3 linked regions of the Coturnix japonica genome follow. The protein of the gene in region 1 interacts with the protein of each later gene in a pairwise test. Links are inferred from orthologs where the notes say so. Each region holds a gene or a part of one and is shown in the gene's direction. Other genes may lie near its edges.

Region 1 (4,223 bases):
TGGGAGCTACACACAAAGACTCCTCATTGCTCAGGTGAAAGGTCTGGAGCCCAGGTTCAGCCACAGTGCTGGGTCTGCTCACCTCAACCTTTCTTTCCCCCCTGCTTCTCACATAGAACAGCTTGTGGGCTCTGTTTGGATATAGATCTGTAGCATGCATGAGTGGACGTCATGTTTTCCATGCTGCTGCATCTCAGGAGGAGAAGGAAGCTTTCTGGTTCCGTTGCTGGCCAGCAACGTGGATCTTAGTTCCTTTTTTAGCCCTGCCAAGCTTGCCTTGTGCCAAAAACCTTTGAGGTGCAAATCCCAGGAGGGAGATAAAATAGCTCCGTGCCCTGCAGGTGTTGTAAGGGTAAGTAGTGCTCCTGCTGGTGACAGCTGCTGGGGAACTGACCAAGCAAGAATCCTGTGAGAGGAATGGGATGTCAGGTCTGTGGAAACTGAGCACTCTGGTGTTTATGGTCTTGCACTGGGTCACCATATGTACTTGTGTTGTTTGTGATGGGATGTCAGGGAGTTAAACCTCCTTCCAAGCAAACTAATCTTCAGTTTGTGTCCTGGGTGAGGGTTAGTTACTACCTGCCTCTTTTCCAAGCATATTAAACTTCAAATAGAAAAGGCAGTAATTAAAATCTAAGACATTTCGGTGGCTAACTTTAGCTCAGTGAACACTTTTCTACTAAGAAAACTGCTGTGATGCCTAAACAAGAGGTTTCTGGAATATGTGAAGTGTCAGAGGTACTTATTGAAGTCATTAATAGCAGAAAGTACACTGTGTTGCATGTAACTCAGCCAAGAGAACTTTTATTTCTAGTATTTCTCAACCCTGTGCAAACATCATGTAATGCACAGGAAGATTAATTCTGGCCTGTTGGGCTTGTATAGAAGTCTTGGATGTGTTGCTTTTGGAGAGCCTGAGCAGCTGTATGTGGAAAATCAGAAATGCATTTCATGTTGGCAGAGGTGTTGGACCATAAGCACACACTGCATCATGCTCTGTGCTCCGAAACAATGACTCAACCCAGGAGTGATGAAATACGTGCTGTCAGATCCTTGATAACTCTGAGCTTTAATTTCGGAAGGAGATGCAGAGCAGAACTTGGAATAAGAAGGGAAAAGAGCAGTCCAGGGATTTTGAACAGCTGGGCCCCAAGTGGATGGTGCTGTACAAATTGCACTGACCCTTTCCAGTGGAAATCAGTGAGCGCTGCTGTCTTCAGGAGGTTGAGAAGCAATTTATATCCAACAAATTGGAATCAGGGATTCCTGCGCCCTTTATGAAAATATAGAGTAACTCGAATTGTAAGAGTCCAATTTCATGTCACAAGTAATGAAATCTGAACCTGTGCAGGAAATAAAATCCCAGTGCTGATGTCACCATCTGGTTTATGATGTGGCTGCTTTTGTTCCTGGGCGAGCACTCGAGCGTTCTACAAGTGAGGTGCTTACAGGACAGAGTCCCTTGCACTGCACCTGCTGATAGTGCCTGCACTGTGAGTCAGTGGGAGCTGCCCCAGCACATCCCCAGGCTCTGCACAGATCCTTCACTGCCACAATGCAAGGTAACAACAGCCTGGAGGTTTGGGTTCCAATCTCTGCCAGCTTGGGGCACGTTGACTGTGAGTAGATTGGTTTTTGGTCTGACCTACGAGGAGAGCAGAGGGAGGTTTGTTGGGTGCTGGTGTTTTCTTGCTGTAGTGAAGCCCGATGTGCTGGAGTGCAGGAGCATGCAGCCAGCCCTGGGAACTCTGCAACTCTTGGCAGAGAGCAGCTTGCTATTGCTTCTTCCTTCAGGGACAGAGTGTGGAGCATCTCCTCCACAGCAAAGAAATGGGACGTACTTTTGCAACCTCTGCTTCATGGGCTGAGACATCAGCTCTTCTTTGTGTGGAAGTCTTCATGTAGAAGTTTCGAAGAGTCCAATTTTGGATCTATCCCTTTTTATGTGGGTCTCCTTGTATATCTCAGATTTAAGCATGATTATGAGGTTCTGTGAATGAGCCACAGGCCTGGATCAAAGGCTGGTTAGTGTTACTCTTTCTTATCTCTGTGTGTTTGTTCTGCAAAGGAGCACTTTTCAGCTGTTCTTGAGTTTCTGGGCAGTCAGCAAAAGTACTTTGCAGTGGCACCTGCCAGCAGCAGGGCTTGGGGCTGTGGCTCCTCCACACACAGGAAACTCCATGTTTAGTGTGTTAGTGATGTAGAGGCATTTACGCTTTATTTTGTGAGTGCTTGTGCCCGTTTATAATAGCTGCTTTCACTGTATGTTTTGAATGTGGCAAGTCTTCCCTTTCAGAAGTACCACCAAAGACTGCATCTCAAAGTATGGCAGGAACTGGAAAGCATGTGGGTTTCTGCACATTTATTTTTAGTGCTTGCAGTGGGTTATTTCTTCGAGGTTTTATGTAGAATACACAATAATCACAACTTCTGCAGCTTAAAGCGTGCAGCACTAAGGGTCTAAGTGAGAAGTGCTTTACCAAGGAGACTATTGATGAGCAGATCACCCAGCAGAGAGATGATTAACTCTAGAAGGTTGAAACTTACTTTATGTCTACATTAGCAGGAGAATGGCTCCAGGAGACCTCCCTCTTCCCGTGCCATGTCCTTCTTAGCTTGGCTCGCTGTCCTTGGGAGTGCTGCCTTTTTAGGGACGGCTGCAGCTGGCACATGCAGCATCTCCCAGGCAACAGAAGATCTTAGTTGTGTTTCGGACCACAGGCGAGTGGTTCTTGGGATGGTAACCTGAGACAGTTTGTCTTTGCCAGGATTCAGTCCTTCCCTAGAATTAGAAGTGCTCACATGCTGCGGGTTACAAAGCTGTAATTGCCTTTGCTTGCGAGGGACACAGCAGCTGTAAGAAGTGTGGTAGGCAGGACTGCAGGCTGTTGCACAAGAAGTGAGGGCAGAGGCAAAGAGGTCCCTGGCTGGTGATCAGACAGCAAGAAGGCAGCTGCATGGCATGCAAGTGGCAGTGCAGTGTCTCCCCTATCACCTTGGCTTCTGCTTTGCTCTGCTGGTTTTGTATGCAGATGCGGTGCCATCCACCTTCCTCAGCATCACTGTTATATAGGAGACTATGAATGCTACAGCTTGGGAGGCAGGGAATTGACTCAGAAAGAGAATATTTGGTCTGGGGGAAAAAGAAAATCCTTTTGCCCTTGAAGCAATAGGCAATTGTTAAATAAGATGTGTGTTCTAGATGTCTTTTCCTGCTCCTGTAGATCAAAGTTACTTTGTGTATTAATAAAGCATCAACAACGAAAACTGAAGTTGAATGGATCCTTAGTCAACTAAAGGGCTGCCAGGCTCTCAGGTGAAGGTGATTAATAAGGGCTGGGCTCAGACCATGCAGGATTGCTTTTCAGCATAGATGCACAACGCATGCACATGGCTGCATCTACCCCTTGCAGCCTGTCCATGGGTTGATTTTCATGCATGCTTAGAGACAAGCTTGAGGCTCCTGTGCAAAACAGAGACGTAACCTTTTATTCAGGGACTACAAAACGCTTTGTAAAAAGAAATTTAAATTATTCATTGCTTCTGAACTAAGAATGGCTTCATCCTCAAAACAGCTAGAGGAAACAAAAACTACAGCACAGAGCTGGAATTGTAAGAGAACATTAGGGAAATAAAGCAGAATGCCTTGGTTTTGCAGTGATGTCTGCACCCCATAGCAAGCACCTCGAGCAGCCTGATTCTTTTTTCTGCATGGAAGCTGTGGTGTCTGTTTGTATTGCAGGATCCTTGTGTAGTGGGTAGATCTAAGACGAAGGTAAGTTGGCCTCAGTGTGCAGTTAGTCATTTCCTGTCATGCTTTCATGTTTGAGTTGTAGTGTATTTGTTTTGACCTTTATTTCTTGGGGCAAAGAGGTTTTGAGACATTGTTTCTGGAGCCTTCATCCTGCAGTTGGGTAAGCAGTTAGGCGTCTGTGTGGCCATGGACCAAGTCAGCTGGGTTTTATGGTCATCAATGTGGGGCTGGTTGGTTTATTGGTCTTATTGTGGACGTATATTTGATATACATTTGTTTGGTGGAGAACTCTGCCTCCACGCAGGTGCCCCATTGTGATCCTGATAGGTTGGGACGGGGCTACAGCACACAGAGCAAGAAAAGCAATGCTACAACAACGAGGTAACACGAGGCCCACAAGCACCAGTTTGCAGTTTCATCTGCATTTATATATACCCTCTTTATGACTTTCTAGTTGAACCCTCATCCA
Region 2 (4,195 bases), on another chromosome or scaffold:
GGCTTTGTGGCCCCCAATTTCACCCCACGGCGGCTCCACGCGAGCTCCCCTCTGCCCCGCATCCCCCCTTGCCATGACCGCGGTGTCGTGCCCCGGCCACCCCCACCCCTCCCATTTCTGGGGTAAAAATAACACTAATCCCCCGCTCCCCCCCGATGGTGGGCAGCGCCTCCCTTAATCCCCGCTAAATCCCCCACGGGCAGCACGGAGGCCGCGGGGCAGCGCAGCGTGAGGAGCACCCCAAGAACCCTAAAGGAGGACAGGGGGCCCCACGCGTGTCCCACATCCCTTCCTGCGCCCCATAGCGAGGACGCAGCCAACCCAAACCCTCCCAGGGCTCAAACCCCCGGTCCCCTCCAGCCGTAGGGCAGCACCCATCATTGGGTACCCCCACGGGTGACCCCCATTGCTGCCCTGCACCCCTCACCGCCCGGAGCTGCTCCAGCCGGTCCCGCATGGTGCCGGGCTGCCAGGACTCGCCGCCCGCCCGCTGCCGTCCTACATCAGCCCCGCTAATCCCCGCTGATGGGCACTCGACGAGGGCAAGGCTGAGGCGGGGCTGCCCGCACCAGCCACGTGTGATCCAGGCACCCGAGGGGGGGTGACAAAGGTGCCAGTGACAGCAGTGTCACCACAGCCTACAGGTGGCCCCGGCACAGGATGGGGGACAGGGGGTGGTGAGGGACAGGGGGACACGGCCATGGGTAGGGGATGTGAGTGGTGGGATGTGGGTTGGAGGACAGGGACATGGATAAGGGATGGGAGTGTTGGGACACGAAGTGGGGACACGGCTATGGGTGGAGGGAACGGGCGGGGGGACACAAGGTGGGGATGTGGCTGAGGGTGAAGGACGCGGGCCGTGGGACGTGGCCATGGATGGGAGGCACGGGTTGGAGATGTGGCTCACAGTAGGGGACACGGGCCGGGGCTGTGGCCATGGTTAGGGGACATGAAGCGGGGGACATGGCCGTGGGTAGAGCACATGAACTATGGGATGCAGGTTGGGGGGACGTGGCCGTGTATAGGGGGCTCGAACTTGGGAGAACGGCCACGGTTAGGGGACGTGAGCTGGGGGACGTGTCCGTGGGCAGGGGTCCCGCGTGGGGGGACACAGGCTGGGGGACACGACTGGAGGGAAAGACCCAGCGGACATCGCTGAGCCGTGGCTGGCGTGTGGGGCACGGCTGGGGCAGCAGCGCGCGGCCGGGGCACGACGGCGCACGAGTGCACGGAGGCGGTCAGAAAAAGGCGGCCTGTCCCTTTAAGAGCCGCCCGCAGTGGGGCGCGGCGCTCTGTGAGCCTTCGGCTGGGCGGAGCTCATTTGCGCATGCGCACCGCACGGACGGGCGGAGGAGGTGACGTCATGCGCGTGCGCCCGCGGCGGCGCATGCGCGGCGGGGCCGTAGCGGGCCGCGCGGAGCCTGCGGGCGGGGGGCGCCGCCGCCGCCGCCATGTTCCGGTACCCGGTGAGCGGGGGGAGGGGCTGAGGGGGCTGAGGGGGCGGGGTCGGGCCGCGGGGGTCGGAGCTCGGGACTCCGAGTTGGGTTCGGGGCCGCGGCTACGGGCTCAGGGTCAGGGCCGTGGGGCCGCGGGTCGGGCTGAGGGTCGAGGCTGTGGGCTCAGGGCCGAGAGTCGGTGTGGGCGCTGTGCTGGGACCGCTGCTCGGGACCGGGGCTGCCGGGCAGGGCTGGGCCTTGGCCTCGGTGGCAGCGCCGGTTCGGTAGTCGTGGTGGTACGAAGGCACCGTCTGCCGCTGCAGTCCCTGGAGGAGTGCCCGCTGGACGAGGAGGAGGACGGCTTCCAGGTGCTGGGCGAGGAGGATGAGGACATCGATCAGTTCAACGATGACACCTTTGGGGCCGGGGCTGTCGGTGAGTTCTCTGTCTCTTGTCCACACTGCCCACCCGGTGCTCTCTGCCGCTGCGCTCAGCCCGCCGTTCCCGTGCAGATGATGACTGGCAGGAGGCCCACGAGCGGTTGGCTGAGCTGGAGGAGAAACCCGTGGGCTCAGGGCAGCAGGCCCAACCCAGCAGTGAGGATGCGGAGCTGCTGGGGGAACCTGAGGATGCGCTGGCGGAGCGACTGACACGGCTGGTGATCGAGAGCGAGCTGGAGGACCCTGCCATCATGAGAGCCGTGCACACCCGTGGGTCTGCTGCACAGAGCGTGACGCTCAACACCAGCATCTGGGATGGCCCCTCTGTGCTGCAGCGCATCCGCACGCCACTGCTCACACAGGTAGGGGCACAACGCTGGGCACACGCAACGAAGGGTTGCAGGAATGGGGGAGGGTTGAGTGTTAGGAAGAGGTTCTTCACCACAGTGGCTGTAGGTGTGGAGAAGGCTTCCCGGAGAAGCAGGCACTGCCCCACACTACCAGAGCTCGAGGAGTGTTGGGGCAATGCCCTCAGATGTAGGTTTGTGTTTGGGGCGTTCCTATGTGGGGCCGGGGGTTGGACTCAGTGGTCCTGTGGGCCCCTCCCAGCTTGGGATATTCTGTGGCTGTTGGGTGAGCTGCTCTTGGACATCACTTCTAGTCCCTGCACATGCTCCCTCTGGGCTGGGAGATGCCACGCAATCCCTGATGGTGTCAGCACTCAAGATTTGGGATCGTCAGTGCCTCGAGCCATAATTGTTTTCATTGCTGGTTGACAGAGAGTCAGGCTTAATTAAGAGCTGGGCGCAGGATCCTTAGGGCTCTCTGAGAACCCTGGCTGGGGCGTGGGGATCTCCAGCACTGGGAAAGCGCAATGGGGCGGCTCCTCTGTTCTATACCACGTCATATTCAGTGCACCTTGCCACCACGTCCAGCTCTGAGTCTTTTTCACAGGGCCACTTTTACTTTCAGGAGATGCCATCGTTGTCCGTGCTGGACTACGCTCTGCCCCAGAGACCCCCACAGGCTCGGGAGGAGGAGCGGGACCCCTCGGAACGGGCACTGCCACGCCGCTCATCCTCCCCCATCATCGGGAGCCCCCCCGTGCGAGCAGTCCCCATCGGCACCCCACCCAAGCAGGCCACCATGCCCAATTTTAACCAGCAGGTATGGCCCCAACTCCTCACAGCAGGTGCAGACCCCTGCACCCCTGGTGAGGATCCAGCGGTCAGACCCCCACTGCTTTCCTTCTCTCAGATCCTGTGTCCAAAGCCTGTCCACATCCGGGCTACCATGCAGCAGCGCTACTCTGCTCCCTACGGCGAGAGGATGTCCCCCAACCAGCTCTGCAACGTACCGGTACCCCCTGCTCCCACCCCCATAACCCTCTGATGCCCCGACTGCATCATACTGCCTAGGAGGACTGTGACCAAGGGGTCTGCTCCTTTATTTTCCTGCAGAACTCTTCCTTGCTGGGCCACCCGTTCCCTACCAGTGTCTCTCCCGTTCTCACCCACCTGCAGCGGGCACAGCTGCTGGGAGGTGCACAGGTAAAGCCCTAGACTCTGTGCCCCCCAAGGCCCATAGGGGCGAGGGTCCAGCATTCTGATGGACCCTGCCTGATCCGCACTCCCTCTGCCCCACAGGCTGGCCGAATTTCTCCTAGCCAGTTTGCTCGAGTCTCAGGCCTTGTTGGGAGCCCACTACCCTCCGTCAACCCCAAGCTGCTGCAGGGCAGAGTGGGGCAGATGATGGCTCCCACTGGTGGCTTTCGTGCCTTCTTCGGGGCTGGCCCCACTCCGCCCTCACAACCGCAGCCTCCGCCGGGCCCCATGCCTCACCTGCAGGGCCTGAGGTAGGCACTGACCCCCTCATGATCATTCACCTGCCCCACGGCCCTCTAACCCCCTGTGCTCCCCACAGGCCGCAGCCCTTCCGACTGGACACCACCCACCTGCACCCCCAGCACCGCCGGCTCCTGCACCAGCGGCAGCAGCAGAACAGAAAGTGAGCACTGGGCGGGAGGGAGCGTGAGGAGGTGGGCGATGCTCCGGTGCCGGCTGTTCTGGGGGGCCCATGCAGCCGGGGGTAGCCTGTGCACCACTCTCTGTCCCTTCCTGTAGCTCCTGTGTGTTCATGGGTGCCCTTCTTGCCTCCTGCCAGCCAGCACCGTGGCCTCAACGGCTCGGTGGGGGACCGAGGGGGCCACCGGGGCAGCCACCAGGAGCAGGTGCGCAAGGACCCCTACGCCAACCTCATGCTGCAGCGGGAGAAGGACTGGGTGTCTAAGATCCAGATGATGCAGCTGCAGAGCACCGA
Region 3 (4,248 bases), on another chromosome or scaffold:
CTTCCAATCCATGCCAATCTATGGGTCTATGACAAGCGTGATATTACTGTAGTAACACTCACTGCCACATGTGTGTGCATCGTGCACTCTGGCAGATCCAGCCATTGGGTGGTAAGGAGAAGATGCAAAACCTTCAAGCTCTGCACTTGCCAGGGTTGGTTCCTTGTCCTTCATATGGTGCCCATAGAATTTGCAGAAACCTAATTCTAAAAGCAAGGTCTCAATACTGTTTATATAGCAAAATATGGCACAGAAACCCCTTTGGCAGAAGAACTACCTCGAATTAAACATGCACAGTCTTAGCATAGCTATAACCGTGCCTGTGCCAGCAACACGCATTCTTTGCTATTGCACATTAATTTCTTGAGAGTAGTTTTCCAACATCATAAGGATTATGCAGTCACTTTGGCTGTCATTTCTGGGCAAGTTGTTTGAAATTCAGCAGATTTTGGAGGCATTGCATTCCTGCAGGCTGAACGACAGCAGGGCTGAATGCCTGCCCAAAGAAGCAGCTACAACACCCCTTGCACTATGGTTAGCACTCTGATCCAAACCAAAAAGAGAAGGAAAACAGGCATCCAAAGTGCATTAGGCTCACAAAATGCAGGGTATAAATAAATCCTTCAGGTTCCTCTGGTTATAACCTCTTAACTCAGTACCTCCTTCACTGCAGCCTCTCCCCTCCAACGATGAGGCAACAATTTCCTAGAGGGTGTAACGCTGGTTGGAAGCATTGCAACACGGCCACTCTCCTCCTGCATGTTACTCCCTGGGTGACTGAGCTGGGTTGGATGCCAGAGGGAATGCAGGAAGGTGGAAGAGACAGCCAGGACAGGACCCTGCCCTGCTCTGCAGGAGCTCCATTGTGTGCAACAGCAGGAAAATACAGAGAACGTTCCTGAAGGTCACAGTGACACCAGGACGAGTGCCAGTGTATTCAGGCTGCCTGGAGAGAGGCTGACGCTGAGCCAAACCTCACCTGCCAGCCTCTTTATTCACCCATTTCTTATTAGGGCAAAGAGAGGCGTCCTTACATGGAAATACATTTTGCTTGTGCTCCTCTTCTTGGATTTTTGCTTTTTGTGGCATTGCAGGTGCTGCTGTTCCACATGAGCCCAAGAGCAGAACTGTTGTGTCTGTATTCACTGAGATGACTCCTGCTGAAACGGATCTGCCGAAGTCACAAAGTCAGGTCATTCCATCTTAAAACTGGCAACTGCGTTTGGTTAGGACACGGAGAAGGAGCCTAAACCATAGAACATAGAACCATAGAACTCCAGGATGCTCCTTAGAAGTTTGCAGAAGGATTTGCCCCTGCTCACTACAGAAGCAAAAAGCCTTAGGAGGACTTAGAGCACTGATTTCACCCTGCTGGCAGCTTTGATCATTTGATTTAAGTCCTGACAAATCAAACAGCACGTGGCGCACTCCAGTATTTGTAGAACCCCCAGGCATTCCAGCAGCAGAACCCCTCCCCAGGCAGCTGTTGCTAGGAGCTGAGCTGTGTTTTGTAGGCTATGGGATGGCGGAGCAACGCGGGTGTCTGAGTCGCTCATGGGGCTCCAGCACCTCTCCATCAATGCTAACAGGCCATCGGCACTCCTCTCCACAACCTGCTCCATCCCAGGGTGCTTTTGTGCTTCCCAAGCTGATTACGACTTATCCAGTAGTCAAGTGCACGTCCTCCAAGCTGAAAAAAGGACAGGGAGCAATTAAAGCTCTCTTAAAATATTTAGAAACAGCCGAGAGCAGGTTAGAATTTCCATTCTTTCTGTTAGCACGGGGTGTGGGTTTGGCCCCCTGTAGGAAGGGGCTGAAAGGCAGCAAGGTATGGCTGTGCAGAATGGCTCCCTGATCTCCATGCAGCCCTTTGGACACTTGTCCTTGTGTCAAACAGTTGCCAACCCTGCATCCAACACCTTTCCTGGGTTATGGCTTCTGTCTCCATAAGGAACAGCTCATTTTTTGGTTTTCACATCAATTGCAAAGAGCAAGAAAATGGGTTTTTAAACTTTGAAGCTTCCTATCATTTATCCCAAGGCTGAACACAAAAGACAAGGACCACTCACACGCTTCCCAAGCACTGACCGGGATCTTTCCTCTTGCAGCCCTGGCTGTGCAATGGCCTCTGTGTCATCCAAGAGGAAGAAGAACACCAGAGCTAAAGGACGGGGCCATCAACAACAGCAGGCACAATCCTTACCAGCTGACAGAGGTAAATCTTGTGCCTTCAGTTTTAACCCATAGCTGTGCCAAGTCTTATAGCCAAGGTCTGAGTTGATATGGAGATCAAGAGGGTTACATGTTCTACACCTGGCCACCAACTTACAGTGTTCTTGCAGGCAGACTGCACACAATTTATACCTTTTTCAGGTAAACCCCGTGAAGGTGTTTTTCCTACCTCTGAAGTGGAGCTTGACAAAACCAGGCCTTGTGGTCTTCCAGAAAAGCAGTCAGAAGAACTGATACGAGAAGTGCCAATGGCATCAGGACCATATTTTTATATCAGTGGATCTAATGGAGAAGGACTGTAAGTAGGTCCTTAGCAATATATGACAGCACATGAAACTGCACTACAACATGTAATCTTTTCCCTTTGACTTTATGTGTTGTCAGAACAAAGCATTCAAAGAATAGTTTAAGAACAATTCAAATGGCAAGTGCTTAATGGAAGACCAACTGTAGTAATGTAGCTGTTAAGCAAGAAACTAAACACTTATACTTGTTAAATGAGAGTTCTCTGGGTTTTACATAGTAAATCAGCCAGCATCATCTCAAGCTCAACTGCAGTTGATCAACCTTTCATTGCCATAAATGCATTAAAAGCAAAAAATAAGAAGACTTTTATGCCCAAGAAAAATAGTCAGATCAGAAATTCCATCATTTACTTCCTGAGTTCTACAAATGGCTTTTCCTATTGTGATCTGTCATCTCTTCCTGCACATCTAAGCACAGAGGCTCCTTACTGACTCCGGACCATAATGCACAACATTCCTATTCTACGGGTACCACGTCCATCTTAATTGAAGCAACCCTGCTGAAACGGTACAGGTTCTCATTAACACTGCAGAATTACAACATCCTGAACATCCTCAGTCATGAGTTCAGAGCAGCAGGTCCACTTGCAGCCACTCTAATTAATGTTTCCCACCTTATTCCCCACCCAGGGGTTCTTGGGGGTGTTAAGTCAAACTCCCAGGGAAACTGATAGGAGTTGAGGGGATGTGAACTAATTCAGTCTTCATTGCTGGAAAGGAGGCTATTTTGCTATTTTGTTTTCCATACGCAGTGTGAGCATCTATTGCCAGAGCAAAGGCTGGCAGCGTATCTATGACAACAGAAGACAGGATTACGCACTGAAATGGTGTGAGATCAAGTGCCGAGAGACCTATTACCATTTCAAAGAAGGTAGAGGTGCCAGTGGGCCTCGAGTGGGAGAGGGCAGTGGGAAAAATGAGAGAATGATGGACTTGTGGCTCTTAGGGCAGAGGTCACCTGAAGGGTAGGAGAAGCAGGTAACCTCAACTTCTTGGCAGTCCTCAGTGGGGATATTGGAGCTGGATTGCCATGGTGATTAAAGAAAGGGTTTTAGACAAGAGAATGGCTTGGAGAGAAAAGATACCATTGAAATGAACTGCACACAAAGCATCATAATCACTTCTGAAATGCAGCCCTCCCTCTGTGGGTTGGAGCTCACAGGCGGCAATAGGACTGACACTGTTCTGCTGCACAGCAGCAGCTGGCACCTCACCAGCCTGGCCAAGACTTTGCATACATATAGAGGGTGCCCCACATACACAAGCACCCCCTGCTACTGCCTGCAAGTAAATTGGTGAGAGTCAGCAGTGCCCAGATCAGCATCATACCCTCCAGGTTCTGCTGCATGAGATGAGGACAAGCTGTCTTTTCCCCTCATACAGGCGAACAGCTGCTCTACCAGATTCCCAACAACATTGTCCTTACCAGCAAGATTGGGCTTTTATCCTGCCTGCGAGAGCAAGAGCGAGTGATGAGAAAGATCAACTTGAACTCTGGTCCCAAGTAAGAACTCTCACCTCATTGCACCTTGAGCAGAAACACGCACCAAGCAAAAGTGAGAGCGCATAAAAAAGAGGGTGCAAAGTATAGGGGGATTTTTTTCCCCCAGAGGAATGAATGTGTCAGACAAGATTTTCAGCTTGTATTTCAACTCTCCCGTAGGTTACTGAAGATGGAAGATTTCTTTCCAGAATCTTTTCGCTTGGACTT

The links.
Region 2: the proteins of FHL3 (region 1) and PATL1 interact in binary tests that used the Homo sapiens proteins (3 or more experiments, as listed by UniProt). The two-hybrid records come from large-scale screens. The link is inferred for Coturnix japonica from reciprocal best matches to the Homo sapiens genes FHL3 and PATL1.
Region 3: the proteins of FHL3 (region 1) and TTLL10 interact in binary tests that used the Homo sapiens proteins (3 or more experiments, as listed by UniProt). The two-hybrid records come from large-scale screens. The link is inferred for Coturnix japonica from reciprocal best matches to the Homo sapiens genes FHL3 and TTLL10.

The regions. Positions count from the first base shown.
Region 1 is NC_029538.1:3,109,474-3,113,696, forward strand, and holds the start of FHL3 (four and a half LIM domains protein 3), read left to right. Parts: upstream 1-1,423; 5' UTR 1,424-1,555; coding exon 1,556-1,562; intron 1,563-4,223. UniProt on the Homo sapiens protein: Recruited by SOX15 to FOXK1 promoters where it acts as a transcriptional coactivator of FOXK1.
Region 2 is NC_029520.1:202,683-206,877, reverse strand, and holds the start of PATL1 (protein PAT1 homolog 1), read left to right. Parts: upstream 1-1,395; 5' UTR 1,396-1,451; coding exon 1,452-1,466; intron 1,467-1,759; coding exon 1,760-1,871; intron 1,872-1,948; coding exon 1,949-2,238; intron 2,239-2,848; coding exon 2,849-3,043; intron 3,044-3,133; coding exon 3,134-3,235; intron 3,236-3,336; coding exon 3,337-3,426; intron 3,427-3,522; coding exon 3,523-3,731; intron 3,732-3,799; coding exon 3,800-3,883; intron 3,884-4,039; coding exon 4,040-4,195. Other genes in the region: syntaxin-3-like, read right to left, coding at 428-457. UniProt on the Homo sapiens protein: RNA-binding protein involved in deadenylation-dependent decapping of mRNAs, leading to the degradation of mRNAs. Acts as a scaffold protein that connects deadenylation and decapping machinery.
Region 3 is NC_029536.1:2,184,902-2,189,149, reverse strand, and holds the start of TTLL10 (inactive polyglycylase TTLL10), read left to right. Parts: upstream 1-1,448; 5' UTR 1,449-1,522; coding exon 1,523-1,752; intron 1,753-2,108; coding exon 2,109-2,215; intron 2,216-2,373; coding exon 2,374-2,530; intron 2,531-3,289; coding exon 3,290-3,408; intron 3,409-3,920; coding exon 3,921-4,041; intron 4,042-4,200; coding exon 4,201-4,248. UniProt on the Homo sapiens protein: Inactive polyglycylase.